4 linked regions of the Lonchura striata genome follow. The protein of the gene in region 2 purifies or fractionates together with the protein of the main gene of each other region. This does not show direct contact. Links are inferred from orthologs where the notes say so. Each region holds a gene or a part of one and is shown on either strand. Other genes may lie near its edges. The genes, in order: MTCL1, CAPZA2, TWF1 and TNKS1BP1.

Evidence for each region.
Region 1: the proteins of CAPZA2 (region 2) and MTCL1 purify together in Homo sapiens (affinity purification with mass spectrometry; 3 studies listed by BioGRID and IntAct, counting the BioPlex papers as one, with this or other methods). This does not show direct contact. The link is inferred for Lonchura striata from reciprocal best matches to the Homo sapiens genes CAPZA2 and MTCL1.
Region 3: the proteins of CAPZA2 (region 2) and TWF1 purify together in Homo sapiens (affinity purification with mass spectrometry; 3 studies listed by BioGRID and IntAct, with this or other methods). This does not show direct contact. The link is inferred for Lonchura striata from reciprocal best matches to the Homo sapiens genes CAPZA2 and TWF1.
Region 4: the proteins of CAPZA2 (region 2) and TNKS1BP1 purify together in Homo sapiens (affinity purification with mass spectrometry; 4 studies listed by BioGRID and IntAct, counting the BioPlex papers as one, with this or other methods). This does not show direct contact. The link is inferred for Lonchura striata from reciprocal best matches to the Homo sapiens genes CAPZA2 and TNKS1BP1.

What each region holds. Positions count from the first base shown.
Region 1 is NC_134603.1:51,366,807-51,374,105, reverse strand, and holds the start of MTCL1 (microtubule cross-linking factor 1), read right to left. Parts: upstream 3,008-7,299; 5' UTR 2,853-3,007; intron 1-2,852. UniProt on the Homo sapiens protein: Microtubule-associated factor involved in the late phase of epithelial polarization and microtubule dynamics regulation.
Region 2 is NC_134607.1:34,494,498-34,502,157, reverse strand, and holds the start of CAPZA2 (F-actin-capping protein subunit alpha-2), read left to right. Parts: upstream 1-4,648; 5' UTR 4,649-5,435; coding exon 5,436-5,537; intron 5,538-7,660. UniProt on the Homo sapiens protein: F-actin-capping proteins bind in a Ca(2+)-independent manner to the fast growing ends of actin filaments (barbed end) thereby blocking the exchange of subunits at these ends.
Region 3 is NC_134607.1:39,397,500-39,405,143, forward strand, and holds the start of TWF1 (twinfilin-1), read right to left. Parts: upstream 3,021-7,644; 5' UTR 2,959-3,020; coding exon 2,934-2,958; intron 1-2,933. UniProt on the Homo sapiens protein: Actin-binding protein involved in motile and morphological processes. Inhibits actin polymerization, likely by sequestering G-actin. By capping the barbed ends of filaments, it also regulates motility.
Region 4 is NC_134608.1:53,173,509-53,180,420, reverse strand, and holds the start of TNKS1BP1 (182 kDa tankyrase-1-binding protein), read left to right. Parts: upstream 1-3,910; 5' UTR 3,911-3,934; intron 3,935-4,188; 5' UTR 4,189-4,229; coding exon 4,230-4,323; intron 4,324-4,456; coding exon 4,457-5,081; intron 5,082-5,759; coding exon 5,760-5,832; intron 5,833-6,592; coding exon 6,593-6,912. Other genes in the region: FACT complex subunit SSRP1, read left to right, coding at 452-575, 934-1,104, 1,336-1,427, 1,540-1,720, 1,977-2,045.

The sequences.
Region 1 (7,299 bases), on a different chromosome or scaffold from region 2:
TTCTTTCTGAAAACACTTTAATCTCTAGTAATCTTTAGCACTAAGTATCTGTGTGTGTATCTTCGATAACCTGTTACAGACACATGAAAGATACATGAAAGACCTTCCTACCTGAAAGATAAAATTCCCTGAAAAAGACTTTATTATGTGCACTTAGGCCTGCACTCCAGCTGCAGGGAGGGATAAGGAGGAGTGAAACCCACAAAATTTGGCTTGTGGCCATGCTCAGGAAATTAACAGTTTCTTCTGGGATTTATCTAATAATTTGTCTATTTACAGTTGACAGCATCCCTGTTTTCCCTTAGCCCCCTCTGGAGAAACACAGCTCACTCCAATGCCAACCAAGAGAACTGCATTGTAAAAAACACATGGAACAAACCCACAAGTAAACAACTCAGACAGTGATGTGGTTTTAATTTGCAGACTTTTTTATAGGTTTTCCTAGGAGAGGCAAATGAGAATTGGGAATTCTGATAAAATTTTTGCACCACTGGGCCGTTTCCAACCATTTTGAGAGAGAAGCAGAATTAAGACCTCACACACCAAGGTGGCCAAGCAAAGCAGAAAATGTACTCATTTCCCTCAGAAGAGGCAATGGTATTAGTTCATGGCTTTACAGGCATCAGGACATGCCCACCGAAGAAACCAGTCTGTATTATCCTCCGAGACTCAGGAATATTTTGAACGTGATAAAGTCACAATCTGAATCAAAAAAAGTGTGAGGAAACAAATGCTGTAGATGATTAAGATATCAAGGTGAAAGATCTGAGGGCATTGTTGCACAGGGTGAAAAATTTGGAATGAAGATAATAAAGTTCTTTACCTAAGACTTGCCATTGCCAACTAGGTCGCATGATTACAGGGCTCCTCAGGTGGGACACACTAACAAGGGTCTGTCCTGGGCAATTCTGACACGCTCTTTTTTTTTTTTTTTTTTTTTTTTTTGCCAGTTTCCCATAGTTAAAAATCACCTTCAGTATAAAGAGAACTTGACATATACTTTGTAATGGGTTTAATTATATAACACTCATATACTTGTTCAAATCCTGTAATGCAAAGAGATGCTCTTGGACTTCATGACTTCTAATGGCAGTGCCAGTTAGCTACTCCTTAAGTGATTCCCATTATCAATTCTGATTTCATTACATCTCCTCTTGCTTCTAGGCTGTCAAATAAAACAGAAGCTTGTGATAAAGGTTCTCTGTGCTGCTCATCTTTTTATAGACTATTACATATCCTTACCACACTCGAGTTTCCCATCCAATGAGTGCTATAAAAGCTTTTCTATGAGCCAATAATTTTTATTGGTCTGGTTTTGTATTTTCCTTTTCTAGATGACCAGCAGTGCCCACAGTATTTCAGGTACACTCACTGACCTGTGTAACAACTACAGTTTTATAAAATATTGCCAGATTTTTTTAGTTAGTCTCTGTTCAGTTCCCGCTGTAATCTAACCATTTTTGCAGATTTTCCTTTCTCCTTTTCTCATTACGCTCCTGAGTTAACACATTTAAACAGAAAAGTGCATACTTATTCCCTCCAAGTACTTAAGATTTTGCATATTAGGATTTATTTACCATCCTCTGCCTCCATTTTTCACACATTCCTCAGGGGTTAACTTTGTTATTAAGTTCTATCTTTGCCAGACTTTACTTAAGCTAGAAACATTTAATGTCTTCTGAAAATTTTGCTGTATCATGGCTTGTTCCTTTTTCCAGTTCACTAAGCAGCACCAGACCTGGCAAAGAACCTTGCAGCACCCCTGCTGTTACCCTTTTGCTATGCTGAATATTGTTTCGTGTAACTTAGCCAAAACCCCTTAACGAGCCTAGCTTGTATCTTTATCACTCTTCTTTCCCAAGGCTATACATAAAACTCCCACTCTTATTTGAGAAAGAATGCTAGATCTACATGGATTTATATGGTTCTTTTGCTTGACAACAGGGTGTTCCCAATATCGGGGAACAAAGATTGTTTTCACCAGAGGTAGAGCCAAACAGTGGTTGTGGTTACAGGATTATCTCAGTTTATCTTATTTATAGATCTTTATGGATGTAGCTTCTTTGCTCTGCCAAAAGATCAGATTGTAAGTACAAGTCCAACTAAAGGTTCCCACAGGTCAACCCAGCTCAGAGATTGCCTGAATTTAGCTTTCCTGTTTCTCCGAGGATGGATTCATACTGATATCCTGTACAAGGATGCAATGACACTTTTTTTCTTGCTGCTCTTGTTGTTCTCTTAGTACTGCACAGCGAGTGGCTTCACTTTCCAGAGATAAAGTAACGCAATAAGCAGAGCACATAATGCTGTCATCCTTTCCACATCAAATGAGGGAACCTGTTCCTTTGCCTTTTCCTAAAGGGTGACACTGAGGAAATCAGTTCCTGGAAAGCAAAGTTCTGCTAACCAGTAGAATGTTTGCAGTGCTTTAGAAAGAGTCGGGGTTTGCTGAGCTACCACCACGTCAACCAAACGCAACATTGCCACGGTACATGTTGCATCGGACTGACGTTCATCCAGCGCCCACAAACCGGGCTTTGCAGGGGGCCGCGATCATACGCTTAAGTCCCTTAAGCCGTGCCGGGTCCCGCTTCGTGGGGGCGGGGAAGGAGGGGGCCGAGGCACCCGGCTGGCTCTCCCTGCCCCTATTTCCCTCCTGCAGGTAAAATTTGGCATTTGGACCAGCGGGCGCGGGGGTCCCATGGGAGGTGACTCCAGGCAGCGCGAATATTCTTCCCCTACTTCCACGCGCTGTCCCCACGTTCCTGGGCAGGAGGGGGCCGCGTTTCTACCGCGGCCGCCTCCCGCCCTTCCCTTCCCCGCCGAGGCCGAGCTCCGCGGGCGATGCTCACCTTGAGGTACTCGTTCTCCGAGCGCAGCTCCTCCACCTCCCGCTGCAGCTCCTCCGGGGCCGCCGGCGGCGGCTCCCCGCGGCTCGGGGCTCGCCCCCCGCCCGTGGCCGCGGGTAGCACATCCCCGCGGAAGCCGGGGGCCGGCGCAGCTCCGCGCCCGGGGCCAGGGCCGTGGCCGGCGCGGGGCTGCTCGGCGGCGGGATGAACGCCGGGATGAGCGGCGGGATGAGCGGCGGGCGGCTCCCGCTCGCGGTCGCTGGAGCCGGTGCCGGACTCGGCGTCGCTGCTGGCGGCCGGGGCCAGGCGCTGCTCGTCGGAGAGCGGCTCGGAGGGGCAGTCGGAGAGGTCGGAGCTGCTGTCCGTGTGGCCGACGCGGGCCAGCGCCGCCGCCGCATGGCCGCTGCCCGCCGCGGCTCCCCGCTTCGCCTTCCTGCCCTTGCCGGGCGGCGGGGCCGCCTCCCCGCCGGGCTGCCGCCCCGCGCCCCGGCCGCCGGGCCCCGGCTCCGGACCGCGGGCCGCCCGCTTGGCGCAGGGGGCGGCCTTGGCGCCCGCCCTGCCGACGGCGGTGACGGCGGCGGCGGCCGCCTTGCCCCCCGGGGCGGCGGGGCGGCGGGAGAGGCGGCCCGGCGCCGCCAGGAGCCCCGCGGAGGGCTGGTGGGCGCCCGGGTGCGGCGACGAGGGCGCCCGGGCGGGGAGCCCGGGGGACTTGGGGGGCGCGGGCGGAGGCTTGGCGGCGGCGCGGGCGTGCAGGTCCTTGAGGAAGGGTCTGGCGGGCGACGGGGCGCGGTGCGGCCGCTTCTTCTCGGCGTGCGGGTGGTGGTGGCCGGGCGAAGGCGGCGGCGGCCGCAGCGCGTCGCCGGGCCCCGGGCCGGGGCCGTTCAGCGCCTCCATGGCGCGGGCCGGGGGCGGCGGGGCGGCAGCGGCGGCCGCGGGGCCGCCCGGCGGCGGCAGGAGCGGCGGTCCCCGCGGGGCGCGGCGGCAGGACGGGCAGCCTCCTCCAGCCTCCCTGCTCGCTCTCTCATCACTTCTGCTTCTCCCAGCCACAGCCCTCACACTTTTCTTTCTCGATCCCCCTCTTCCTGCCCCCCCACCCCCACCTTCTCCTCCTCCTCGCCGCTCTCTCCCGAGCACTGATTTGTTTCAATAAATCGAGCCCAAATCCCCCGGTGGCAGCCGTCTCCTCCTTCTCCTCCTCCTCCTCCTCCTCCTCCTTCTTCTTCCCCTCCCGCTCCCCTCTCCGCCTGGCTCAGCTTGATGCTGCTCAAGTTGTGATGCAGCCCAAAAAACCGATCCGTTTCCCACCCAATCCGAGGCAAAGGCGTGTTTTCCCGGTTGCCTTCGCCTCCACTTGCAAGTCCCCCGCTCAGCCCACCGGCGCCGCTAACCCCATCACTGCCCCGGCTCCAGCCGCCGCCTCCGCCCGGCTCCTGAAATAGCCCCGCGGCTGCCGGGGCCGCTCCGACTCGGCGCTGCCCGCCCGTGCGCAGGATCCGCCCCCTCTGTCAACCAGCCAGGCAGCTCTCCTCCCGCCCCGCAAACTACTTTCCTCGCACGCTTTATTATAGGGACGCCTCTGCCAGCCTTTTCCTATCAGTAATTTTAGGGAGAAATTTTGATTTCTCGGTCATGAGCTATATAGCGTTGTCAGTTTTGGTTGTTTTGGATTTTTTTTCCCCCCGAGCTAAGACTTCATGGAAATGCTCTCTCCAGGGACTGGCAGCAGCAAAACAACAGCCACCGCATTATCTCCCTGCTCAAGGCAGATACAGGTTCACCTAGAGGCGGAGCCGAGTATCCGAGGATATCAGCAAGTTCCTGGCTCTGGCTGAACTACAAAAGGCACGGACACGTCTTTTTGGAGTACGAGGATATGAAATTGCAGCTCTTACGTTTGCAAAGCACCCGGAGAATAAATGAAAGGGAGGAGAGGCTCGGGCGTGGGAAAAGTGCACAGCCTTAATGGGGAGAGCAAAGGCTCTCCAGCCGGGATGTTTCCGATTCTTCCGCTGGGACACAGCGGACCTTGCAGTAGCCGCGGTGGCTGCCTTATCTTGTCAGACGAAAGTAAACGCGTGCTTAGGTTCTGAAGTCCTTGGGTGGCGCGGATCATCCACGTCTGGATGTCAGGGACTGCAGCGCGCTCGGGGGAGGACAGTCCCAGACGTTTTAGGGGGGATGGGATGGTGGCAGCACCCTGCGGCGCTCCACATCCCCCGCTCATCTGGGCTCAAGGCATTACCCCTAAAGGCAAAAGCCCAAGGTCTGCTGGAGCCTGAGGGCAAAGGCACCGCGGGGCGGGTGGCCAGGGCGGGCAGCTGTTTCTGACAGTGCCAGGCCGGTGCTGGGGCCAGGTCGCGTTGCCCAGGGAAGAAACAGGACCGGACCGCCCGGGCATCCCCGGCTCCTTTCTCCCGGTAAACGAAGTGAACACTGATTTATCCTGCGGAATAGCGCTACCGCATGAGTATGCAACAGGTAGTCCTTACTTTGTAAAGGCTGCAAAGGTGAAAAAAACCATCCAAATCAGAGCTGTATTTACAGGTCTCTAGGAATTGTGAGCAGTTCCACGACAGAGCCCCGGGCATGGGCAGCGCCAGCCAGGAGAGCGGAGATGAGCGGGATGCCGGCGGGGCAGGGGGCGAGGGCGGCTCCAGCCCCGGGAGAAAGCCGGCGCTTGGAGCGGCAGCGGAGGGCGAGGCTAGGTCCCTCCCCGTCCCCGCAGGACAAATCTCCTCGACAGGGCGGTGTGGTCCTTCCGCGAGTGGGCAAACGATGAAAGCTCTGCTCCGGGGCACCCAGCAGTGATGCCAGGCTGTGTTGGGTGGGTTTTTTTTGATCTCTTGAAAATTCCATTTCTGTTAGTGCTGTTTAGTTTCCACCGTTGGCCTCGCTGCCAGACGGCTATGTTCCCGCATCCAAATGTGCCTTCCAGGTCACACGGCAAAGTACCAAAGTACCTATTGTGGCAATGATGGCACTGGATGCTGCCGGTATGTACATCTACTACAGCTACCAGCAGGACTTCGTGGGGCCAAGTCCTTTAAAAAATATAGAAAACACGTTGAGGAGAGTCAAACACAGCAAACCCATTCACAGGTATAAGTCCCCTTATTCTCCCTCCAGGTAAAACATTAGTAATTTACTTGTTTGGGTGAGACAATCACTGTCTATCACTTCTATAGAAGTACTATGAAGTGGCTCAGTTGATCTAGAAAAATGACTTATAAAATACAAACTACTGTTACATTTTAAAGACATTTCTATCAGGCCACCACATATTATCAGTGTTCCCTACAGTGTTTTGCTCCTAGTTCTATTTTTGGGGTTTTTTTTTAAATTATGAAAATTTTTTTGTCAGTACACTGCCAAGCAGTTCAAGGAATTTTCCTTTATGAGAATGTGAAACAGAGTGAAAGAGATGGAAAGTGCTGCATTTCATAATGAGAAACAATAATTATTATGGAAGCACTAAATACTAGAGATGTTGCCCTACATGGGAGATATCAGAAAGGTTTTTTTGCACTACTGTCACCACGCTCACTTGGTTTTGGCTCTAAATTCCAAGAATAGATGGGAATTCCAGCTTCACGTCCTAGATTTGCAAAGTGTTTATGTCTGTGATGGAAGGGGAACTGCTCTGTGATAATTTATGAGTAGCCTGTTTTGACTTTGCCCCATGAACAGAATGGTTCAATTCAAAAGGAAAATGAAAGGAAAAGTATGGCTCAAGATAAGCCACTTTTCTACAAACAATAGCTGAGGGACACTGCCAGGCTTCTTTGCACTGGAGGGGAAAAGAATTAGGGATGTGAAAAAAGGAGTACATTCACAAAAGGCTGGGAATTGTCTGGGAGAATTAATCTGAGACACTTAAGTGCCTGACAGAGCCCAGTTTCCTGTGGTTATCTTGTAAATTTTACATTGCAAAAACATGAATAAATATATTTTTTTCTATCTCACCTACCTTTTTCTCCCCCACTAAATACTTCATTTAAATTGGTAAATGTTTTAGTTTTAAAACTGTCCTTTGTATCACAGTGCATCACCAACCACAAGCTCCTGCAGGCAAAGAGGACTGAAACTCATCCTGACTTCTGAGGAGTTGCCCTTGACAAATAGAGACTGAGATTAATGAAAAGCCCATGACAAGGCAGGGTGACCTCAGATTGGAAAGGAGACTGGAGAGTTGATACCTCCGTAAACTGTGTATCTTTGTGTTCTGTGCACCTTCTTCTCATTGAAACATACAGTAATGTTCGCTGTCCCAAGCAGCACCAGTTCATCCAGGTACCTTAATAAAGTGATTTATTCGCATTAATGCTCAAAGTCGGGCTGTGGCACTGAAAACGTGCTGCAAGCAGAACACATTAGAGGGAGACGAATGATCAGTCACATCAAGATCCCTTTATGCTGTACTGGCTGTATAAGGCATTTAATAACAAAGAAA
Region 2 (7,660 bases):
GCTGGTTAGTCAGAATGGGCTGGCTTAGATAAGGTTGCTTAGGAACTTGCCCTTTGAGTTTTGGGTGTCTCTAGGAACTGAGACTGTACCTCTGGGTGAGGTGTTGCAAGGTTTGTCTAAGCCCACAGTCAAAAACTTAAATGCTGGTTAGTCAGAATGGGCTGGCTTAGATAAGGTTGCTTAGGAACTTGCCCTTTGAGTTTTGGGTGTCTCTAGGAACTGAGACTGTACCTCTGGGTGAGGTGTTGCAAGGTTTGTCTAAGCCCACAGTCAAAAACTTATCCTAATTTATGATTGTTGCAACTTATGTACAGTGCTGCTTGTCTTTTACCATGTACCTCCATAGTGAATTACTGTGCAAAGCAAATTGTTTGTCGTTTTGACAAGTGAAAAGTAATTACTTGCAGCTTGAATACAAATGAAACCTGTTATTATAAATAAAAGATCAGTGATTTCTAAGATTTCAGGTCATATATTTTTCCTTAGTACTAGTTTGAAGAAATCAGGTACCCTGTGGGAATTTTGACTTCTACCATGTTGAGGAGTATTGGGTATTGATAATGTAGTGGCGCCTGAGGACCATCAGGTCTCCTTCTTGCTGTCTTTGTACTCTCAAAACTTCTTGCAGAAGCTTGCTACCTAGGAAACCTCATAGCTCAAGTAGATAAGAGAAACAAATTGAAGCAAAAATAGAGTAATAGGACAAGTTATTGGCAAATACAGAGATGAAACTGGAGACATTACTTTATGATATAATAGGTATGGTTCTACCTTCTACCAATAGTCTTCAACCTGCAGTTCTGCTGTGAAATTCTATTTTCAGTTGGTTTCAATTATGGCAGTCAAAAAGGAACAGGAAAAGGGTTTTAGCTGTATTATTTAGCAAACCCATATATTTTTTACAGCCCTGTATACTATTCATTTTCAGGCTCTGGAAGTGGGATGTAAAGGAGTTTAAAGTGCTTGTTGAGAAATGAAAGCAGGCTTTTGAGCATGCAGCAATTAACTTTTTTAATCCTTGAGTAACAAATTTCTGAAATGTAAAATACTTCCAGTACTTTCTTAGCTTGACAGAAGGCATTAAAACCTTGAATAGGTAACTTAGAGAGAGAATTGTAAGACGCTGGAATTGGCAGGGGCAGACAACAGTTACAGTGGTATCATATTCTATCCATTTTCAGCAAGGTCTGTTACGTTCCTTTTCTCTCGCCACAGCTATTGAATCTGTGGGCTTAATGTCCTTGGAGTATCTCAGTGTAGGAAGAAGAATCACTTTAAAAGCTTGGGCTTTGTAGTAGAAGAATATTTTGCAAATATGGACCAAGTGCTTTTTAGCTTACGGTGGATACCACTTTGTAAAGACTGATGAGAAAGAGAGGCCTTGATGCTGCAACTGAGGATCATGTGTGTTCATGTCCGTGTAACAGGACATCTTGGATTTTTATGTGGAGATGACACTGTTGGTTTCTTTGTGAAGTCTTAGTTAGTAATTTCTTTTACCATGTACATCTCAAATAAAACTTAATGCTTCTGCTTTTCATGAAATGTAAAATTTTACTACTTTTTCAGTGAATGACAGCAAGGAAATAATTTTTTTGCAAGGAAGTAATTTTTTTTATGTTGTTTATCTGTTGTCTGTCTGGTCCATAAGCTTAAGTATGCAGTTGCTTGACTACAATTGTGTATATATATATATATAATTATAAATAGTTGTATAGAAATACATACATTATAAAAATATATATAAATAGCTGTGTATAAATATCTATATAATAAAAGGTTTCCAATTTTATATGCTTAGGAGTAATAAGAATAACTACAGAATAACATGGGGGAGATTCGTCTTCTCTTACTTTTTTATGGTTAGTCTTGTGTATTACTCAAATAACATCCTTTGCTTTCATATTCTTTTTTGCTATCTGTGGCTGACGCACCAACTTACAGGAGTTTGGGTTTTTTAAAATTTTCCTAATATGATGTGGTGTGTAAAGTGATTTTAAGATAGAGACTTTTATGATATTTAGATACTCTTCCGCTGAAAGGTCCTACAGTGAAGCATCCACCACCTTTCAAAGTGGTTATTTTTGTGAAAATAGATCTCATTATTGAAGTCAGATCATCAGGTAAGAATGAAGCTAAATTATCACACATTGTGTAAGATTTATTTTTTGCAGCACTGTGAAGGGCTGGTACCGTTACATATTCTTAAATACTTGTGTATTGAAAACATTTGGGGCAAACACATGTTCTCCAGATGCAGTGTAGCTTTAGGCATTACAGTTAAGGAAATGTCTGTTCAATCAAAGCCATAGGTATGGAATGTGCCCCTCCTTTCCTGTGCCACAGAACCACATTTTTACAGTGTTTTTCCTTAGCTCTTCTAGAAGCAGAAGTGAACTGGTTACTGCAGTGAATTTTCAGTTGAGCTTGGTAGGAAGGCAGTTGCAGCACTACATTTATATTCATTCCCTCTCTACCAGAGTCGTTGCCTTTGTTCCATGTTTATGTGAAATGATGCATGTTTTGGGATGCTGTTTTGCTGTTTGAAGTTATACCTGTGGGTATGGTGAGGTTTATGAGATACAGTGAAGGCAGTTTGCTGCTGACATGGGGTAATTACTTTCTCACAGTTTAATTCTCGGAGCTTGTCCAGCTGTTTGAAGGCTTTTTAGCCTCACTAAACTGTCAACAGCAGGAAGCAATAATAATTATTTAAAGCTCTTTTTTAGCTAAATTGGTTGTTATCTTCTTGCCACCTTCCTTTAGCTAGATCAATTTGCTTGTCTGAATACTCACAGAAATAGATGAGCACTGATGATACATAGGAGTTTGTAAAAATAGTGGTGTAACATTCTGGGAAGTATCTAACCTAAAGATTTAATGAGCAATTGGAGCCAGTACTACCGAATATCTGGCTCTCCAAAGGGGAAGCCAGTTACATTTTCTTGAAACACCAAAAGGTTTACAAAGTCAAAAACTATGTTGATGTTTGGCTACAGCACCAAACATTGTATCCTGCAAATATTTGAACCTTAGACTGTGCTCCTTGATGTGTTTTATTGTCAATGCAAAATTCATTTCGAGTGGTAGATGTCAGAGAAGTTTTGCTTTATAAGGAAAAATAAAGCTGCATATTGAAAAATAATGTTACAGCTCAAGCTGAACTCAAATCACAAGTTTGTTTGAATGAAACTCAGAACTAAGTAAAACTAGGTAAGTGTTATGTCCAGTATCACTTCAGTGAGTACAGTCTGTATCGCTTAATTTGAGTGTGACTTACAGACTTGAGAGAATACAAATTTGCCTCATTTAACTGATGTCTGTGTTAATATTTATTTATGTGACTATGAGCTAATTGTGAGAAAACCCTGTAGCTAATTTAATTGGGACAGGACAAACCCATTTGTTTAGTTGCCTGCAGACAGGTTTTTAACAAGAACTATACAGAAGGCATGACTGAGAGCAGAGCTCTCTAGTCTCTGCTAGAGAGAGATGTGATGTGATATCTCAGTATCTTTTTTTTGCCAAACACAGGTTTCTCTGAGTGGGAGATTTATTGTATGCTGTAAGATAGCTAGGGTACCCTCAGGAATCCTGAATGCAAATGCATGATATACAATGCTTTGAGCCTGCTGTAACAGTAATAAAAGTAACTTTGAGAAGCTATTTTTATTCCCCTGTGATTAACAACAAAGTTGTCTTTGAGTGGGAATTATTGTGGGAATCTTTTGCATGCCCTCTCTCTTCTTACTTTCTCTTAGGTAAAAAGGGGTTTTTAGTATCTATTTCACTATTTCATTTTTACTGCTGTGGAGCAGTGAACTTTAACCTATTAGGAGTGTAAAGGAAGGGGTGGGTCTCCCTCCTGCAACGAGTTCACAGCTGAATTTCTGAATTTGAAATAGGGGATATATAGGAAAGAATAAGGGTGAGTATATGGTTTCACAGTATCCTACTTATCAGCATGTTTTTTCTGTGCAGCATGGATGTTGATTGAAGGAGTGAGCTGTCAGGGTGCCTAACAAACAAAACTCTGAAATACCTGTCCTTCAGTTGAGTTAAAAAGGGGGAAAGAAAAATGAAAGAGGGAGAGTTTTAATGTCTCTGTTACTGTTAGATGCACCCTAGCAGAGTCCAAGGAGTGAGCTGCCTTGGCAGGGCTGACAGTGGCACTGAGAAGCCCTGCAGTGGGAACACTTCTCCTTGACCATATATAGGCACATACAGCACACAAGGTCGGGCTTCTCCAACCAGTGTCACTTCTCATGTGGCAGGAACAGGAAGAGTGATCTCGGAGCATTTGAAGCCACTATCTATAACTTCTTAAAAATAAAATAAACTTCAGAATGTCTTAGGCTGGAAAAGATAGAGTAGGATTTCTCTCATGTACCTGATGGGTATCATGCATTGAGAAAAATTAAATTGTGAAGTAAAGGCAGAAGTATGGAAAAAAATAGATTTAGAATAACTGCCACTATTCTATACATTACTACGTTGCTCTTTGCTAGGGTAGTCTGAAAACTACAAATATTGTTGTAACTGAGTGTAGGAATTTGTTGCTAGACCAACTGTTTTAATCCCTAGCAGAATAAAGAATTAGGCATAATGCCTAATATTCATCACATACATCAATCCTGTCCTTTTCTCTTTTGCTAGGCTTCTCTGTACGAATTTTTACCTTAATTGACATAGTTTACTTTATAAAATCAATATGCTTGTAGATTTGATAAACTTTTAACTGATGTAATGGGGTAGCATTTGACTTCACTTGAATTGTGGAAGTAAACCATTGGTGATCAGATGTTCTGGGTTAGTGAAGTCTGAAGTTTATAGTTCCTTGCTACTCTGAAGACCTGAAGCTGAAAACTGACTCAAATCTACATCAATAAAACACTATCTTAAACTTTAGGTAGTGTTTTGGGAGTAACTACAGTAATAAGTGGAGAAACTTCAGGTGTTTTATGTCTTCGAGTTTTCTAAAGGAAGACTCAACTGTAGCAATTTTTTGTTACTTGCTGATACATACCTAAGTTTCTTGTACTATGTGTAAGGGTGAAGTACTCTTGAATGGAAAAACGTTTTGTCGTTTGGATTCTTAAGATATTATGATGTTTCTGTTTTGGCTTGCTCAAATCAATTTTTAGACACCTCGGCGCATTGAATAATCAGCATTGGTTGTAAATGCACCTGATCGGTTTTCTTAAAATTATTTTCAGCAGATACAACTTCCTATCTCAGTTTGACTAAAGAGCAGTTTAACTTTTTGCTTGTCACTTTATATTACAGGTTATGTGCATTTTTAATTTATCTTTTTTTAGTTGCCTGTGAACATCATATTTTATACAGAGTGCCCCTTTGTTTTAATTGTGCTTTCCCAAGTGATAGCTGAGGCTTTTTGCTGCCAAAAGGGGGAGATCTTAATCTCATAGAGGCTTATGGAGGTACATTCATTTATCCTTCAGTATCAGTCTGGGTTTGAAAAACAGAAGCCTCCTTTAGAGCATTTATTTCTGCAAAAATTCAGTGGCAATATATCTGTAACTGCTTTTCAATTCTAATGTGTTAAGTGAGACTACTGGATTTAATTCTTTTATATGGGCTTTCTGTATGTATGAATTGGGGAAATAATGGCTTTATCAGATACTCATCACAGAGAAGTTAATTCAGTTTAACTGCTGAAGGAAAATGGGATTACTTTTAAATTGGCTTTACAAAGGCAGGTTAGCAAAATACAGTGTCTTAGCTGATACACTCTCAACTTCTGAAAACACATTAGATTTTTTTGCTTTTGTAAACATGAATATACTTTATACTTGATGAGGTATTCATTGCAAATGTGCATGATTGTCTATCTGTTCTATAAAATGTTTCATCTATGATGAATTTTCACACAAAAAACTATCAGTGAGAAATTTAATTTACTTGTAAAATGTTTGTAAAAAGTAATGTCTAGGTTGGTCTGTCGTGAGGACATCTGAATGCTTTTGAATTAATATTACTTATAGTGTAGCTAATTTTATAAGAATCGTTTTTACTGATAGTGAAAAAAATAAGCAAAACCAGATCTATATTACCAAAACAGCTGAAAATGAGGTAGTGCTCCAGTTTTAGTATAGACCCAATGTCTCACCTTACAGGTGTTACCAGTTTAAAGCATGTGGCCATTCAGGGTGCAGTTTGGGCACCCATGTTTTGCTTAATTTTGCTTCTATAGCTGCTGCCTGCCTAAAACTTATGGACCTGTTATTTCACAACTCCAGATGTCTATAAGTCTTGTTTCTCTGCTTGCCCAGAGCTAACCTGGCCTTGGCAGGGGTAAGCAGTCCTGTTCACATGAAGTCAATGAATCAAGAAATGCTGTTCCTTCATCTTGAGCTGGGAGTCAGCCCACTGATAGTCATGCTGAAATCACACAACTAAATACTCGCTTTTCAGGGCTGATCCAGGACCCTATTAATTGGTGTAATGGTTTAACCCCAGGCATGCCACTAAGCCCCACACAGCCACTCAGTCAGTGCCCCACCAGTGGGATTGGGGAGAGAATTGGAAGGGTAAAAGTAGGAAAACTCATGGGTTGAGGTAAATATAATTTAAGAAGGAAAGCAAAAGTTGTGCATGCAAGCAAAGCTAAATAGGGAATTAATTCAGTATTTCCCATGGGCAGGCAGCTATTCAGCCATCTGTAGGAGAACAGAGTCCCCCATAACATGTAATGGTGACTTGGGAAGTCAAATGTCATCACTCCAAAAATCTCCCACCCTTCCTCCTTCTTCCCCCACTTTATATACTGGGTATGATTTGGTGTGGTGTGGAATATCCCTTGGTCAGTCAGGGTCACCTGCTCTGGCTGTGTGTCCTCCCAGTCTCCCACACACCCCCAGCTTCCTTGCCAGTGTGTCAGTATGAACAGCAGAAAAGGCCTTGGCTGTGTAAGCCCTGCTCAGCAGCAGCACAAACAGCTGTGATCAACACTGTGTTCAGCACAAATCCAAAACACAGTCTTCTACCAGCAACTGTTACGAGAATTAGTTCTGCCCCAACCAAAAGCAGCATTATTGGTCATTTGATAAAATGCACTGGTGATAGAACCTTGGAGCCTGTCTTACCCTTGTTCTTTGTAAGTGCTTTAATAATATATAGGTTAGCTTTGTTTTGCATTCTTTATATTGCTTTGGCTTGAGCATTGAGCTGTGTGTGGTGCCTTGACTTCAGCAAGAGGTACCAGGAGTGTGGGGATTGGTGATTAAGATAATGTGTGTAACGCAGATAAGTTTGCATTCTTCTAATTCAAAGGAGCTGATCTAAGTTGCTTTAATAAGCAGCCATAGAAGAAGGTCCTCTTGCCTCTCTGTGTCTTTTTTGAAGAGTGAACTTTGTGGCATTTATCTCAGTATAATGCAAATTCATGTTTACATGGAAGAGGAGTTGGTAGGAGTAAAGAGGAGATGGTAGGTACTTGAGGAAGCAGACAAATGCTGCCTGCAATCCAAAATGCAACATTTAGGTTAGAAAGTTGGGAACTGACAACTTTTCCATTATCCAGCTCTGAATAGTTGTGTTCTGTTAATGATCTGAAAGCTGCCTGGGCTGGTCACTTGGGATCTCATGAAGGTTCAACACTGCCAATGAGGCAGCTAAGTGCTCTCCCAGGACATTTTAA
Region 3 (7,644 bases), about 4.9 Mb from region 2:
ACAAAGATGAAAGGCAACATTACAAAACAGCCCTGCTTTCTAGCATACCAAATGATTTTCAACATTGTGAAAATTACAGGTGACATCATATCATCAATCTCATGTTTCAGAGTTAACACAGCAACACAATAAAAATATGACGCATCTCAAATTACAAAAGCTTTAAGAAGTCTGCAGGCTTAGTACAAACTTTCAGACAGAAACGTTACGCCTGCCAGGAAAATGTTAGAGCTTGTCTGGCTGAAGTGATGGTCTTTCCTGAGAGCACCTCTCTGCAGCATACCAGTGAAAGCTACCACTCATTGCTCATCGTTCATACCTCCTTATCTCCTTCTATGGTCGAGGACATTGTTCAAGCCCCAACCTACTGTAACAAGATAGCTTTATAGTGAATTTACAATGTAACTAAAATATTTTTACATGCTTGTAAATCACATTGACACTATACCACCAACATGACAGACTCACTTCCGTAAGCACACTGAAGAAGTGCTCTTGACTGGCGTGAAGACTATTGTTATCTTAACTGCTCTGCTAAATAATCTGAGTGCAAATTGGTTTAATTATACCAGAGACTGAGAGTGTAAGGATTTACTGAGAAACATTTATTGCAAGCTGGTCCTTTAAGTAATCCCATAGGATAGAGCACAGTACCAGCAAAACAAACATCAAACCAGGAAACTAATAAAATAGATTATTTATAGTCAGGTTGAGGCCAAATGAACAGATGGTATCCAGCAACATTACTGCCCATACTCACAACATTTTACATTTATGTTTGTCCAAGTGGCGCCAGGCCCATTCTGAGAGTCCAAAATGGCATGTTAAAAGAACATGTTAAGCAAACTGAATTGCATTTGGTTTCCAGTTCAACCCCAGTTTCATCCCAGCTGTCTTCTTCCCACTAACCAGTGCAGACCGTCACAGTAATTTGCTGACAGCTTTTCTAATCATCTCTGTTGGTCTTCACCATTCCACTGAGCAACCAAACATTGTGCCATTTTCTAGACTTTTTGTTGCCCCAGAATATTCTTTGTCCTCTTCTTGTCTATTATCCTTTTGTTCCTTATTATCTCATTTCAACACTACACACCAAAACAAGAACAGAATACAGCATGTCTCTATACCAATTCCAGAACTGTTTCCTGAAAAAATATTTAGAGACACTTACGAAACCAGCTCACTATCAAGTGATTTATGTTTTTTTTTTCATCATGAAGGTATTTAAAATCACAAAAATTATATTATTTTCTGTTTAAACTTTCTGCATAGCAGAGGGCCACCGAATCAAAATCTGGGCTTATTTCACAACTATTTTGCAGGGCATATTATTTTAAAATTATTTAGAGGACTGTAAACTCATTCAATTGTATTTCACCCTAGTTACTGCATTCTGTAACTTCCTACAGTGTTCTTCTGCACTGGCCTGTTTAAAAAGTCCAGTCCTTTTAGCAACTGCCTGGTACACATCACTGTGCCCATGACTTCATTTGTTTCCAGAAAAAAGCAGCCCATGCTGCCAAATATTGTAATTGTTTATGAGTGACAGTAGCCTGTTTGTAGCTAAAGCCAGCAATGGCACAAGTAGAGCTACTCCTCTTCCAAATGGCAAGGGCTGATGCATTGCTGCAAACAGGACTCCTGATGAGTGCCTGCTGAGGCAGGTTCCCAAAGGAAAGCTGCCGAGTTCTCTACAGCTCTCCTCCGAGGACAAATGATTCTCAGAAACGAAGCAGAGCTGCAGAAGAGGATTAGCCATTCTTTTGCTTACAACAGAGTATTCTGCTCCTCCCTGCCAGCATTGCCAGGAGAACAAGGGATTATGATTTACTAACAGGTTTCCCCAGACTGGAAAATTAAAGCCATTCCAGGTGCACCTCTAGCCTGAGAGTGGTTGAAGAACTTAAAACAACAAGCTGCAAAAAAAGATCAAAGATTGGCATGCAAAGGAAGGAAGAGAGGGGAAAGAGTGCAAACCATATGCAGCTAATAGACAAAAAAGGGCATAGAAGAGCAGCTAAGGGCTGCCGTGCTGGGACAAAAGTCACCTTCAACAATAAATACCGGAGAGCAGGCAAAGTACATGGTACTAGTCACCGAACACGGAGATTGCAGAAATCCAGACAGTAAAACCCGAGCCCTCCATAATCCTGCTATATAATCCCTGCTTAGCAATTCTGTGATTCAGGGGAACCCGCTAATACTGCGAAACAATACTGTCTCCTTCTAATTGCTCCTCGCACCGTCCAAGGCCTGGAAGCACGGGAAAACAGGTTCCCACATACTTTCCCCCTTTGTGGCCTCTCTCCAGTGATGGGCTTTATAGCGGACCCTCCTACGCCAGGGCTCCTGCTCCTCCCCAGAGCTCTCGCTCCGACGGACCCAGCAGCGATCCCCGCATTTCCCGTGCTGTCCGACCCATCCCAAACTCGGTACGGCGACCCCGAGCAGGCGACAGCCCCCGGCTCGACGCTGCCTCCGCCACCGCAGGAAAACTGCACCGGGAGCGACCTGAGCCCAGGCGGGCCGTGCCCGCCATCCATGGGGCTCTGCAGCGAACACTTGCCCCGGGCGGGCTCCCTGCCTCCCCGGGGCGGACAGGCGCGCTTCGCTGGGCCGATAAGCCCTGCATGCTTCACCCGAATGGGAACGGCGCTAGGGGTTCGACCCCGGAGCCGTGGCCGCCGGGGACGAAACCAGCGGCAGTTCCCCCGGTCGCTCGCCCGGCGCAAAGGACGGGCTCCTCCGGCAGCAAACAAAGAGCGCAGGAGTGGGAAAATCCCGCCGGGAACGGCCCGCTCAGCGCCGCGCCCCGACCCGCGGAGAAAGGCGCTCCGCCCGCCCGCCCGGCAGGACCACGGCGGAGACGGGGCCGGCTGTCATGAGGAGCAGCGGGCAGCGCGGAGCGGAGCTGCGGGGAGCCGCGCGGGTACCTTGGATGCCGGTCTGGTGGGACATGTCGCACCGCGCCCGGCACCGCCGCCTCCCTCCCTCCCTCCCTCGCCGCCCGCCCGGCACGGCCCGGCCCGGCCCGGCCGCGCGCACGTGACGCGCCGCCGCCACTCAGCGGCCGGGAGCGAGCGCGGCGCCTTCCGGGCCCCGCCGGCCGGGGGCTGCGGGGCGGCCGGCCCTGCCCGGCACCGCCCCGCGCCGCTGCCCCGCGCCTCCTCTCGGCGCTCCGGAGCGGGGACGGGGCGCTGCTTTCCCCTCTCCTCTACCCTCTGCTCTCCCTCTCCTGTTTGCCGCCCTCTTCACCTGCTGTCCCGGAGCCGCGGGCATCGCGGGCGCAAAGCCTGCTGTCAGTCCTGCCCCGCAGGAAGGGACATGTGCCCTGCGGCCCGGGTTGCTTGTTAACCGAAGTACTGGAAAATAACTGAGGTGAATTTAGCTGATCTGTAGAAGCCCATGATGGAGACCTGTCACTCTCGCTTAGGGCAGCGCAGGAGTCATCAGGTGTGTGTGTGACAGCAGGCTGCATGCATATACTGGAAATTTGGATTAAAGTCCCTAACAAAGAGCCCACAAGTCGGAACAGAGCCCAGAGCCAGGGCTCACTCCGTTCAAGCCCTTGCCTCTGACAAGGCAGTCTTTCTCTGTTAATTTTGCAGTACGTGGTACGTGGTGGCACCGTATCAACAGAAACAATGAAGACTTCTTCTCTTTCAGTGCGGATCTGGTGACTGAGACACTCGTCTTCCTCGGCAGGGCATGGATCCATGCTTAGGAAGGGTGCATCTGCTTCTCAGGACCCTATCCGCATGGCCAAAGGTTCCTTTATGCCTTTTCAAACTGTGTTGATAGTTTCCTTCAGCTTTTTCTTTCAAAGTTTCCAGTGAAGGAGAGTCCTGCATTATGAATTTAAGCATGCTCTGAAGGTTTATTTGCTTTTGCTAGCTTTTTCAGGTTCATCCATGGGTTGAGAAGCACCATCATCTTAACAACAAAAAGATGGGTACTATAGCTTCTTTAAAAACCCCTTCATTGTCATGCGGTTAGCATTTGTAATCTGTGCTGTGGTTCTAGATTAAGACTTCACAGACAAAATGTGCATGCTGTAGTCATTGATGCTGATGATTCCTTCAGATTCCTGGGAGTTAGCAGATTTTTAGGGGTGCTATTCAGCTAGAGAACACAAGAAGTGCTATAAGAGGGCATATCAAATATCCAGCCCAATGGACCAGGCAAGAATTGAAAAGTAAGACAGGCACATGGTAATCCTTCCCTGGTTCACCTTCTCAGCCTCCGGGATGCTGCAGCTCAGGAATTTTTGAAGTCAGCTGTGTTGATAAATGTGTGTGCCTGTGCTTTGTCAGATCCCTAGTTTAAAGAACATGTGGGATTTAGTGTCCTATTTGGGAAATGTGAAACATCACTGTAACTGTTATGTGAACTGTGCTGTGTAATGCTAGACCAGCAAATACAAAGTCACTGTGGAGACATGTCACCAGCTAATGAACTGGCACTAACAGCAGCTGGGCAAACAGAGAGGCTGCAGCTTTTCTTTCTTCTAGCAAGGAGGCTGAAAGAAACAGGGAAAAGGGTTCATGTGAAACCAGGAAATAAGAGACAGGTAGCACCTACCAGGTACTCAGTGGTTGGCTCTTGTTCCTCTATTGTAAGGCTCCAGGAGCACCAGGATTATATCAAAAAAGAAACTCTTGGAGGAGAACTTTCTCAAGAGGAAAGGAGTACTAGAGATCCAATTAAAATGGCAACAAAAGATGTGGTTCTATCGCAATTACTTTAAATTATTTGGTCCCAAGCTTGTTCCTAAATTCTTGGGTTTCTCCTGTTTTGGAATTAGTGCTTGTAATGGATGAAGTTGCCTGAAAAGTATATGAGGGATAAAGAAGTTTTCATTTATAGACAGATGCCTGAAAACACCAATCAGTTCCTTGCTCCAGTTAGTCATGTGTCCCTAGAACCACTACTACTGTCACAGTGTGGTAACAAGGATGTATAGCTAAAACTGTGGAACTGTTTTTTTTCAGTGGAAATTTGATATTTCCTAGACTGGAAATATCAAAATGGTATAACATTTGTCACTATATTCAGATTGTCTTATTTGTCTGTCTGAGGTCATACCACTACAGCTTCCACCAGTCTGAGGGCTCTGAAGTGTAGGAATGTGATCCTAACATCAGTTTTATATTAAACAAGACTGGTACATATTGACATTTTGTAGCACCTTTTTGGCAAAAAGACAAACTGAACATCAAATATATTTTCTTTAAAATCTAAAAAAAAAAAAGTATCACATATATTTTCCTATATTACAGTGATTAATGTGTGACCAAGAAGAGATGTTGCTTTGAAACTAACACAAGCTAGTAGGGATTTTTATATCTAATGAAGATTCCTAAAGGTCTAAATTTTAGTGTCCTTCAGATTCTTACTAAACTGCTCTAAATCATTAAACTCCTATCCAGACCATAAAGATCGAAGATGATAAAGCAAAGCAGTAACAGGAGGCATATTGCTATTTTCATTCAACTAGAGTGAAGACAGTCTTCCTGCCACCAAACAGAAACTTCACTTATATAACACTTATATTAAAAATGGAGATCTTGTATAGGAAAAAAACTCCAAGGCAAACAGGAGGTGCTATTTGTATTCATGTAAAACTTTTATCTGTAAGTCAAGATAGAAAAAAAAAATTCAAATATCCTTTTTTTTTTCTTTTTTTTTAAGAGACTAGGTATGTCTTACAGCAGCCTCTCCTTGTATGTTTTCATGTCAACTAGGACTACTCTACCTTCCACTCCATTTGATTTGCTAGCTTTTACTCCAAGAGAAAGAAAATATTCTTGGGATTGTTTCAGTTCCATTTGGATGATCATACTGACAACCCAGCACATGGTGGCTGGAGAAGGACCCCTTTTAGAAAGCTAGTGAGTCCTGGCAGAGAGCCACCAAACACAATACCGTCTAGATTTAGAGTAGATCTTATCTGCCAAGATCGTTAATTACCTCCTGCAGGGGTTGCTTGTCTGGCCAGTAGTCATGTCTAAACACAGAGCAGTATTTAAAGTTTTCATGAATCTAATGAGCTGGTAGGTAGCTTTGAGTACTCTGGAAAGCAGTAATTTTCTAAAATATTTCCTCACTCAAATATTCCTGTTATTACAAATATATAAAAAATAATACCAAGGCATATGCAATGATTAGGTGAAAATGCATATTACAAAAATTAGAGATTATCCTTCTGTTTTTCCTAACATTATGTGAAGGATACAATAACCCTATTGAAATAATTAAGAATTTTCTCACTGACTTTGGTACAAACAGGATCTACTAGTAGGAAGTTTGTGAAATGCTTTTAGTGGCAGATGATCTAGGATTATAAACTGGTGCAGCACTAGTATGGATCCAGTAATTTTCCTAGTGAACTCAAAAGAGACATGCTGGGCAACATTCCTTTCATGCCCATTTCCACTTTCTTTTATTATTTACTTTAGATGAGTGCATTGAGTCATTGTAAAATAGTATCAGCTCAAACATCAGCACTGATGATTTGTGCAATTGTTGATCTTGTTTTCCATTACTTTAGAGATGGCAGTTCCTCTTTGACAAGGTACAGTTAGTACAAACTAATTCCAGAGGAAGCAAACGCAGCTCTGGCCAAGGCATTGTTTGCACTTGATGCTGAAGACAAAGTCCCAAGTCACTTCCTTTCTTAATTTGTGTTGCAGAGTCTCTGGGCCTTTGTAGCCTAGGAGTATCAATATTTTAGCGTTTTGGTCATTTATCTTATATTTTCTTTGACATTTTGTCTACCCTTTCTGAGCTCATAGTTTCTGCCTGTTTCTTCATGATATGTATGGCTATGATGTAACATTGAATCATAGAATATTTTGGGTTGGCAGGGACCCTTAAGGTCATCTAATCCAACCTCCTGCAAAGAGCAGAAACATCCTCAACTATATCAAGTTCCTCAGAGCACCATCCAACCTGACCTTGAATGTTAGCAGGAGTGGCATATCTACTGCCTCTCTGGATAATCTTTTCCAGTGTTTTACCACCCTCACTGTAGAAAATGTCTTCTTTATATCTAGTCTGAATCGACTATCTTTTAGTTTAAACCATTATTCCTTTTCCTTTCACTACAGGCCCAAAAAGACTGTTCTCACCTTTCCTATAAACACCCTTTCAGTATTGAAAAAATGCAAGAAGAAGTCTTCTCCACAACCCAAACACTCTCAGCTTTTTCTCATAAGAGAGGTATTCTATCCCTCTGATTATTTTTATGACCCTACTCTGGATTCTCTTCAACAGCTCCACATCTTTCCTGTGCTGAGGACTCTAGACATGGATGCAGTGCTTCAGGTGGAATCTCATCAGAGCTGAGTAGGGGTAAAAATCACCTCCCTCAACCTGCTGGCCACACTTCTAGCCAGAGTAGCCCAGAGTACAGCTTGTTTTCTGGGCTGCAAGCAGACATTGTTGGCTCTTTACTATTTTCTTTTCATCCGCCGGTACCCTCAAGTCCTTCTCAGCAGGACTCAATCCAGTAATCCTCCAGCCTTTATTGATTCCAGAGATTGCCCCAACCCAGGTACAGGACTTTTCACTTGACCTTACTGGACCTCATGTGTTTCACTGGGAGTCAACTGCGCCACTCAGCGTGTTGTTTGCAAACTTGCT
Region 4 (6,912 bases), on a different chromosome or scaffold from region 2:
GAAGGTGCTGTTCTAGGGCTGTGTGAGCATTGAGAGATGCTCAAACTTGCCTGGGATCACCTGGATTTGGGAGTGTACAGCCCTGGGTTTAGGAATGTTGGGCAGCTGGGGCAGTTCTGGGCTCGCTTCATTGTAATGGCATTAGGTCGTATGAGAAAGTTCTGGAAAGGCTTCAGGGGAGGCCTTGGCTGTACTTTTCAGGAAAGAGAACAGTTGGGAGGAGGGTTAAAGCCCCAGGCTGGGGTGAAGATGGGTGGGAGTTGTGGGGGAGCTTGAAACTGAGCCCTGGCACCATGAGAGCTCCGAATGTCCAGGAAGCAGAACACAACGAGCCATGTCCGTGGAAGGCCGCTCCCCCGGGGGCTGTTAACGGGAGCAGAGCAGCTCCAGCCCGGGAAGGCTCAGGGCTGTGGTGTCTGGGGGCAGCTCTGAGGCTGGTGGCCCCGTGCAGGTTCGACAGCAACGCCTCGGCCAGTTCCTCCAGCGGTGACGGCGACAGCGACCGTGATGACAAGAAACCGGCCAAGAAGGCCAAGATCGTCAAGGACCGCAAGCCCCGCAAGAAGCAGCCGGAGGTGAGGGTCTGCTATGGGAGCAGGACCAGTCCTGGAGCGGCGTCAGGCAGGTCACAGCCCCGCCTGAGCTGCCTCACCTCAGCCTCTGTCACACTTGCCAGTGCCCTGGTCAGAGCTGTTGTCTGGCCTGGTGTAGCTGCCTCCAGATGGGTCCAGGCTGAGCCTCTCCCAAGGGCACATTATTCCCATGCCCAGCCTATCCTGGTTGTTGTCAGGCTGTTCTCCAGCAGCCTGTCCCTTCAGCCCTCTCCCAGGGCTGCAGCTGGATTGCTGGGGGGTGCAGAGGTGAGCAGAGCCTGGTCCCAAGGTGTTGGGTGAGGGGTGCATTGGGCTTCCACGCATGTTCTCCACCTCCCAGAGCAAGAAGGGGAAGGACCCCAATGCTCCCAAGCGCCCAATGTCAGCCTACATGCTCTGGCTGAATGCCAACCGGGAAAAAATCAAGTCGGACCACCCTGGCATCAGCATCACCGATCTGTCCAAGAAGGCTGGGGAGCTCTGGAAGGCCATGTCCAAAGAGAAGAAGGAGGTGAGGGATGGGGAGCCCAGGAGAGAGCTGGGCCTGGTACAGGAGGGGTGGCTGGCTATGGAAGACCCTTCCTTGCTCCTGTGAGCCTGGAGTTGCACAGATGTGGAGTTGGGAAAGGGTGGGGACATCCTCAGGCTGGTGAGCTGGGTGATCAGAAGTGGGAGCAGGGCGGGGTGCTGGAGGATGGTAGAGGAGGAGGGGGGCCTCGCTGAGCCCATGCTCTGGCTGCAGGAGTGGGATCGGAAGGCAGAAGATGCCAGGCGGGACTACGAGAAGGCCATGAAGGAATACAGTGTGGGCAGCAAGGCCGACAGCCACAGGGGGTGAGTGTGCTGGCAAGGGGCTGGCAGAGCTTTGCCCCCCAAAATCGAGCTGTTCCCGGGACCAGCTGAGTAATGTGGCTCCTCTGCCTTCTGCTCACCCAACCCCATGCAGGGAGAAGTCAAAGAAGAAGAAGAAGAAGCAAGAGAAGCAGGTGAAGGGGAAGGGGGACAAGAAAGGTGCCACCTCCAAGTCCTCATCCTCCAAGTCCCCAGCTAAGGGCATGAGCGACAGCTTCAAGAGCAAGGAATTCGTATCCAGTGATGAGAGCTCCTCTGCAGAGAGCAAGAAGGAGGTGGGGGTCACAACTGGGGAAGGTCCTGGTCCCTCTTCCCTGGGGAACAACTCTCTGGGAGGGTCCCAGCCCCTCCTCCTTGAGGAACATCCTGGTGGATTCTGCTGGAGAGGCTGGGTCCTTCTGGTACTTCATGTCCTTGGGGACATCCCTTGGTGTGTCCCCAAGTCACCACCATCACCCTGTGCCTGCTGTAGCAAAGGATACTGCCCTGCCTTCATTGTCCCCTGCTGACCTGTTTGTCCCCCGCCTGCAGGACTCCGAGGATGAGGGAGCTGCCAGCCCAGCCCCCAGCTCAGAGGACTCTGCCTCCGGCTCGGATTAGCGCCATCGCAGCTGGCTTCAGGCTGGATCCCAGGTCGGGAGAGGACTGGGCGTGCCAGCCCCATGGCAGGGACCGGGGTCCCAGGCTCTGGATGGCTCCCACCTGGGAGCAGGGCCAGGTTCCCCTGTCCTCCCATGCACCCCGTGGTGGCAGGAGGTGCCAGAGGCTCCTCAGTCCCTCACATTTGTATCCCATCAATTTATTTTTTCTAAACACTTGGGTTTCTCTCTTTTTCTTTCCTTCCCTCGTTGGTTTTTTTTGGTGTTGTTTTTTTGTATTTTGGGTCCGTTCACATGGCAACTCGGGTTGAATAAAAAAAAAACCCACTGATGGTGTTTGTGTGGGTGTGGGGCTGGCTCCCCCATCCCTCCTTCCTTCCTGCAGCCATCCGGGAGCTCATTCCCCTCCTTGAACAGCTTCCAGGGCTGACTTCACTCTCTCCCCACCCTCCATTAGCGGCCCCCAGACCCTGCTCAGCCATCAGGGCTCCTAATTACAGCCCCTCGCTCGATCCTGATGCCATTTGGGGGTTTTTCTACCTCCCTCATGAGGGGGATGATCCGATTAAGGCCAGTTTCCCCTCCGGTGTTGATTGCAGCCGATTCCCGGTCTGGAACCAGCCCCGGGGGGGCCTCATGGCTGCCTGTTCCCCCCTCCTTCCGCTGCCTTTACTGGCACCGCTGGGATGGGGCTACGGGGAAGCAGGAGCCCCGCGGGGCGGCTCCGCGGTGGGCACAAGGGACCCTGGATGCCCAAATGGTGGGAGGGCTCTATTGTCACACCTAAACCGCCCCTCAGGCAGCAGCCCCGCGGCTGGCGGACCCCGGCAATGGGATCATTGGCAGGCGGGGGGGTCCTGCTCGGCTGTTGGCCCCCGAGGGCGATTGTTCGGGGAGTGCTGGAGGTCTCCAGCGTGTGCCCCCAGCCCCATTTCGGGCGCTCCCCGGCCCGCCCGCCACGCGGCGCCGCTCTGCCCCGCCCCCCGCCCCTGGGGCGTGACCGGGGCGCTCATGAATATGCATGAGCAGCGCCGGTGGAGGGTGAGTGGGGGTCTCTGCCGGCATGAGGCTGCAGGTAACCGGGATCCCCCCGGGCCCGTGGCGCCCGCGGGGAACCACGCGGCTTCGGCCCCGGCGGGCAACACGGGCCGGGACCCCCGAATTGAGTGGGGGGCTTCGTTGCCATGGGGACGGCGCTAGGCCGCGGGCGCGGCCTGCTCAGCCACTCGATCGCAGGCTCCGTTGCCACGGCAACGAGGCTAGGCCGCGCTGGCGGAGGACCCCGGGGGGCCGGACCCGCATCCCGGGGCCCCGCCGCCATCCCGGGCCGGGAAACGGGCCGGATGGTTGCCAGATGTGGGTAGTGGTGGCGGTTCCCCCGTGGAAGGCGAGAGGAGGGGGGTCGTGGGGAGGGTGGACCCCGGCGGGGCAGGAGGCAGCGAGGCGGGGAGAGGAGGGCGGCGGGGGGAGGGCAGGGGAGAGAGGGCAGGGCCGGGAGGAGGCACCGAGCGGGTTTTTCCTGTCCCCGCAGCCCCGGTGAGTCACGGGAGAGGCGGCGGCAGCAGCGTGAGACCCGTGGGGACACTAACCCCTCCTCCCCGCCCGCTCTGCGCCCCCCACGTGTGTCCCCGGCCCGCCCCCGACATGAGGCCGAAGTGGGGAAGGTGAGTGGGGCACCCGCGGCCCCTGAGAGGGGCTGGCCGAGGGTCCCGGGGGACCGGGCGGTGCCTCCCGGGCTGCCGGGGGCTCGGGGGGGCCGGGGGGTGACCTGGGCAGGGAGCGGAGATGGGGACTGGGGCAGACTGGGGGCCAGCTGGGCGCTGGAGGCTTGGCGAAGGTCGGTGAGAGTGACACGTGTGTGCTGGGACGGGTTAGCGCAGGGTCAGACAGGTAAAGGAGCGGCCCCGTGGCGGCAGGGGTGTAGTGTGGGGTCCCTGTGGTTATAGGTGGGGGCTGGGGCCGTGTCTGGGTCTGCTGCTGGGGCCAGGTTGGCTCAGGTGAGCCGGGGCCAATGTACTAAGGGTGGCACCACGGTGTGATCACCGTTTGGCACAGCTGGACAGGGCTTGCACAGGGCCCCACAGGGTGGTTGGGTTCCCCCAGGCTCGAGGCGCTCCCCAAACCGATTCTCCCTCTCTCCCCAGGGGCTGACCCTGCACTGTGCCCCCCACATCCCTGTGTCGCCATGGCCTCCCAGCCGCAGCCCCTGCACCCCACCGTGCCCTGCACTCCCCCTGCCACCACCGGGGGGCCCGGGCTGGCCGGCAGCCCCGATAAAGGTCGGTACCTCGGGCTGGGGGCCATTGGGGCGGGGGAGGTTGCTGGGGCAGCCCCCTGAGGGCTGCTCCCATTTTGGGGGGGGGGGGGCCACACCACTCCGCTGACCCCGTCCCCTTCCCTTGCTCTCTGTAGGCAGCGCACGCCCCAAGCCGCCGGTGCGGCCCAAGCCCCACGTGCTGCCCAAGCCGGCCGTGCCCGCCAAGCCCCCGGTGCTGCCCCCCACGCCGGGCCCGCGGCACCCCCGGCCCGAGCTGCCCTCAGCAGAGAAGATGAACCGCCTGGCCGGCCCCCAGCCCTACAGCGGGGCAGCCACGGGGGGGCCCCTCCGGCGCCCCTCCTTCACTGTCAGATCACCCGAGACCCCCAATGGGAAGGGGCTCTCGTCGCCCCTGGTCACGGGCTCCGAGGAGGAGGTGCCGTCGGCCCCGCCAACCCCCTCGCGCAAGGGCCCGGTGCCCTTCAAGGTGACGCCGGTGCCGGTGGCCACCAGGCCGGAGCGGTTCCCGGGCACCACCGTGGAGGAGATCCTGGCCAAGATGGACAGCAGGGAGGGCCCAGGCAGCCCAGACCGGGCTTGGCTCTCACCCTTCTGCACCGACCCCTCCTCCCGCTTCGGCTCCAAGACCTTTGTTGCTTTCCGGAAGCGTCCCAGCGGGGAGGCAGACGGAGACCCTGCAAGCGAAGCCCCCCAGATGCCCCGAGCTGCTGCAGGCGAGCTGGGAATGGGGGATGACGGACACCCTGTGGCTGAAATGAGGTGAGGGCACAGGGACCGATGCTGGGAGGAGTGGCAGTGGGAACAGGGAATATCACTCTGAGCCATCCCAGGCTTGGGAATGTAACGGAGCTGAGGTCTGGTCACCGGCACGGGGCCCGGGTTCCTCCTGAGCCGCAGTGCCTCGAGCTGCCTCCGTGGGAAGACTGGGGTGGCTGGTGCCAACCGCAGAATGGGCTGTCCCAGGCCAGGAGCTGCCTGTGGGCAGGCTCTGAGCCAGCCCCTTGGCTGGGAGTGACAGACAGGGGGTCGCTCCCCCGGGAAATGCTCCTGATTTTCCAGCCTTGCTATTTTTTCCGTTCTGGGCCATGCCAGGGCACAGGGAGCAGATCAGCAGGACTTCCAGCTGCAGGATGTCCTGGGCCAGGGCCAGGGCTTGGCCACAATCCCAAGAGCTGGGCACCTCAGGGAGAGCTGGGGGGGGGGCTGCTCTGAAACGCAGTGTGAGAAACTTGCTCCCAAAGGATCGAAAACTTTCCGGAAGGGGAGCTGGGGCCACTTTGCCTCCTTCCCCTCACAGTCCAAGCCGCAGACTGTGCAGCTGTGGCAGGGCCCAAGTCCTTGAAGGGTGGTTTGGGGCAGGGCTGTCTCGTGGGTGGTGGGAGAATAGCACTGAGGCACACAGTGAGATTTACCCCCCTTCCCCTTCTCTCGCTGCAGCAGCTCCCCCCCAGCTGGGCTGAGCTGTGCCGGGGACCCCTGTGGACGCCGGAGGCCGCCATCCCCTCCTGACGTGAGTGCTGGCCTCACCCTCCGGCGCCATGGCGGCTCCGCTCCTGGGCTCTCTCCTTCGGGGCTCTCCTGTCTCCTCCGGGGCTCCCTCTCTGCGGGGTGCGTGTCTCTCCTTTCTCCTTGGGGCGCTGGCTGCCCCTTCCTGGGGGCTTTCAGGGCCCTCTGTGCCAAAAGTCCTGTGTGGGGGTGGCGTGTGCCAACACCAGTGCCAGGCATGGGCAGGGAGCAGCTGTGAGTCACCAGCTGGGGTTCTGTGACCTGGCAGGTATGTGGCAGGGCAGGCCCCACGGGCACCCCGCCAGCCCCTTTCACTGCTGTGCTCACTCAGGGCAGTGACCAGGACACCGGGCCATGGTGACACTGCGGGTGTCAGCCTGGGCAGCAGCACCGGGTCACCCCACTGAGGGGGCAAACCCCAGCAGTGCTGGGCAGGGGGATGCCAGCCACGGGCAGGGCAGGGGGCTGTGCTGGGGGTTCTGACTTCTTCCTATTTCATTTCTTGTCTCCGTCTGTCCAGGCGCTCTGGGGGCAACAAGGGGCTGGGCAGGGAGCGGGGCTGGGGCACCAGGAGCCGCCCTGGCTGAGTCACCCAGGAGCAGCCTGGTTCTGGCACGCAGCATGGGCACTTCCTGCCCCGGGTGCAGGGAGGGGAGTGAGGCTGGAGGGAGGGACCCTCCAAGGTTTGGGGGACTGGCTTTTGGATGGATGATATTTGGAGGGGCCTCTTGAGTGATATGACCCCCTGCTGGCTTTTTCTACAGCTTTCCACTCTACAGCTGGGTGCCCTCGGACCTCCAGGCTCCCCAAGGCCTCCCACCTGCCCAGCCCCAGCCCCAGGAGCTCCTTTCCAGTCTGCTGAGCCCTCTGCCCCAGCCCCTGGCTCCCCTGATGCTCCTGCTGAGCTCCTGGCCCCAGACTCCCCCACACTGCCCCCTGGCTCCCCCAAATCCCTCACTCAGCCTCCAGTCGAGGTCCCTGTCACTTCCACCCAGGCCCCGGGCGCTCCCTCGGCCACTGAACCCCAGCTCAGTGTCTCCCATTCCCCTGGCTCCCCACACACTCCAGGGGAAGGATCCCCTGG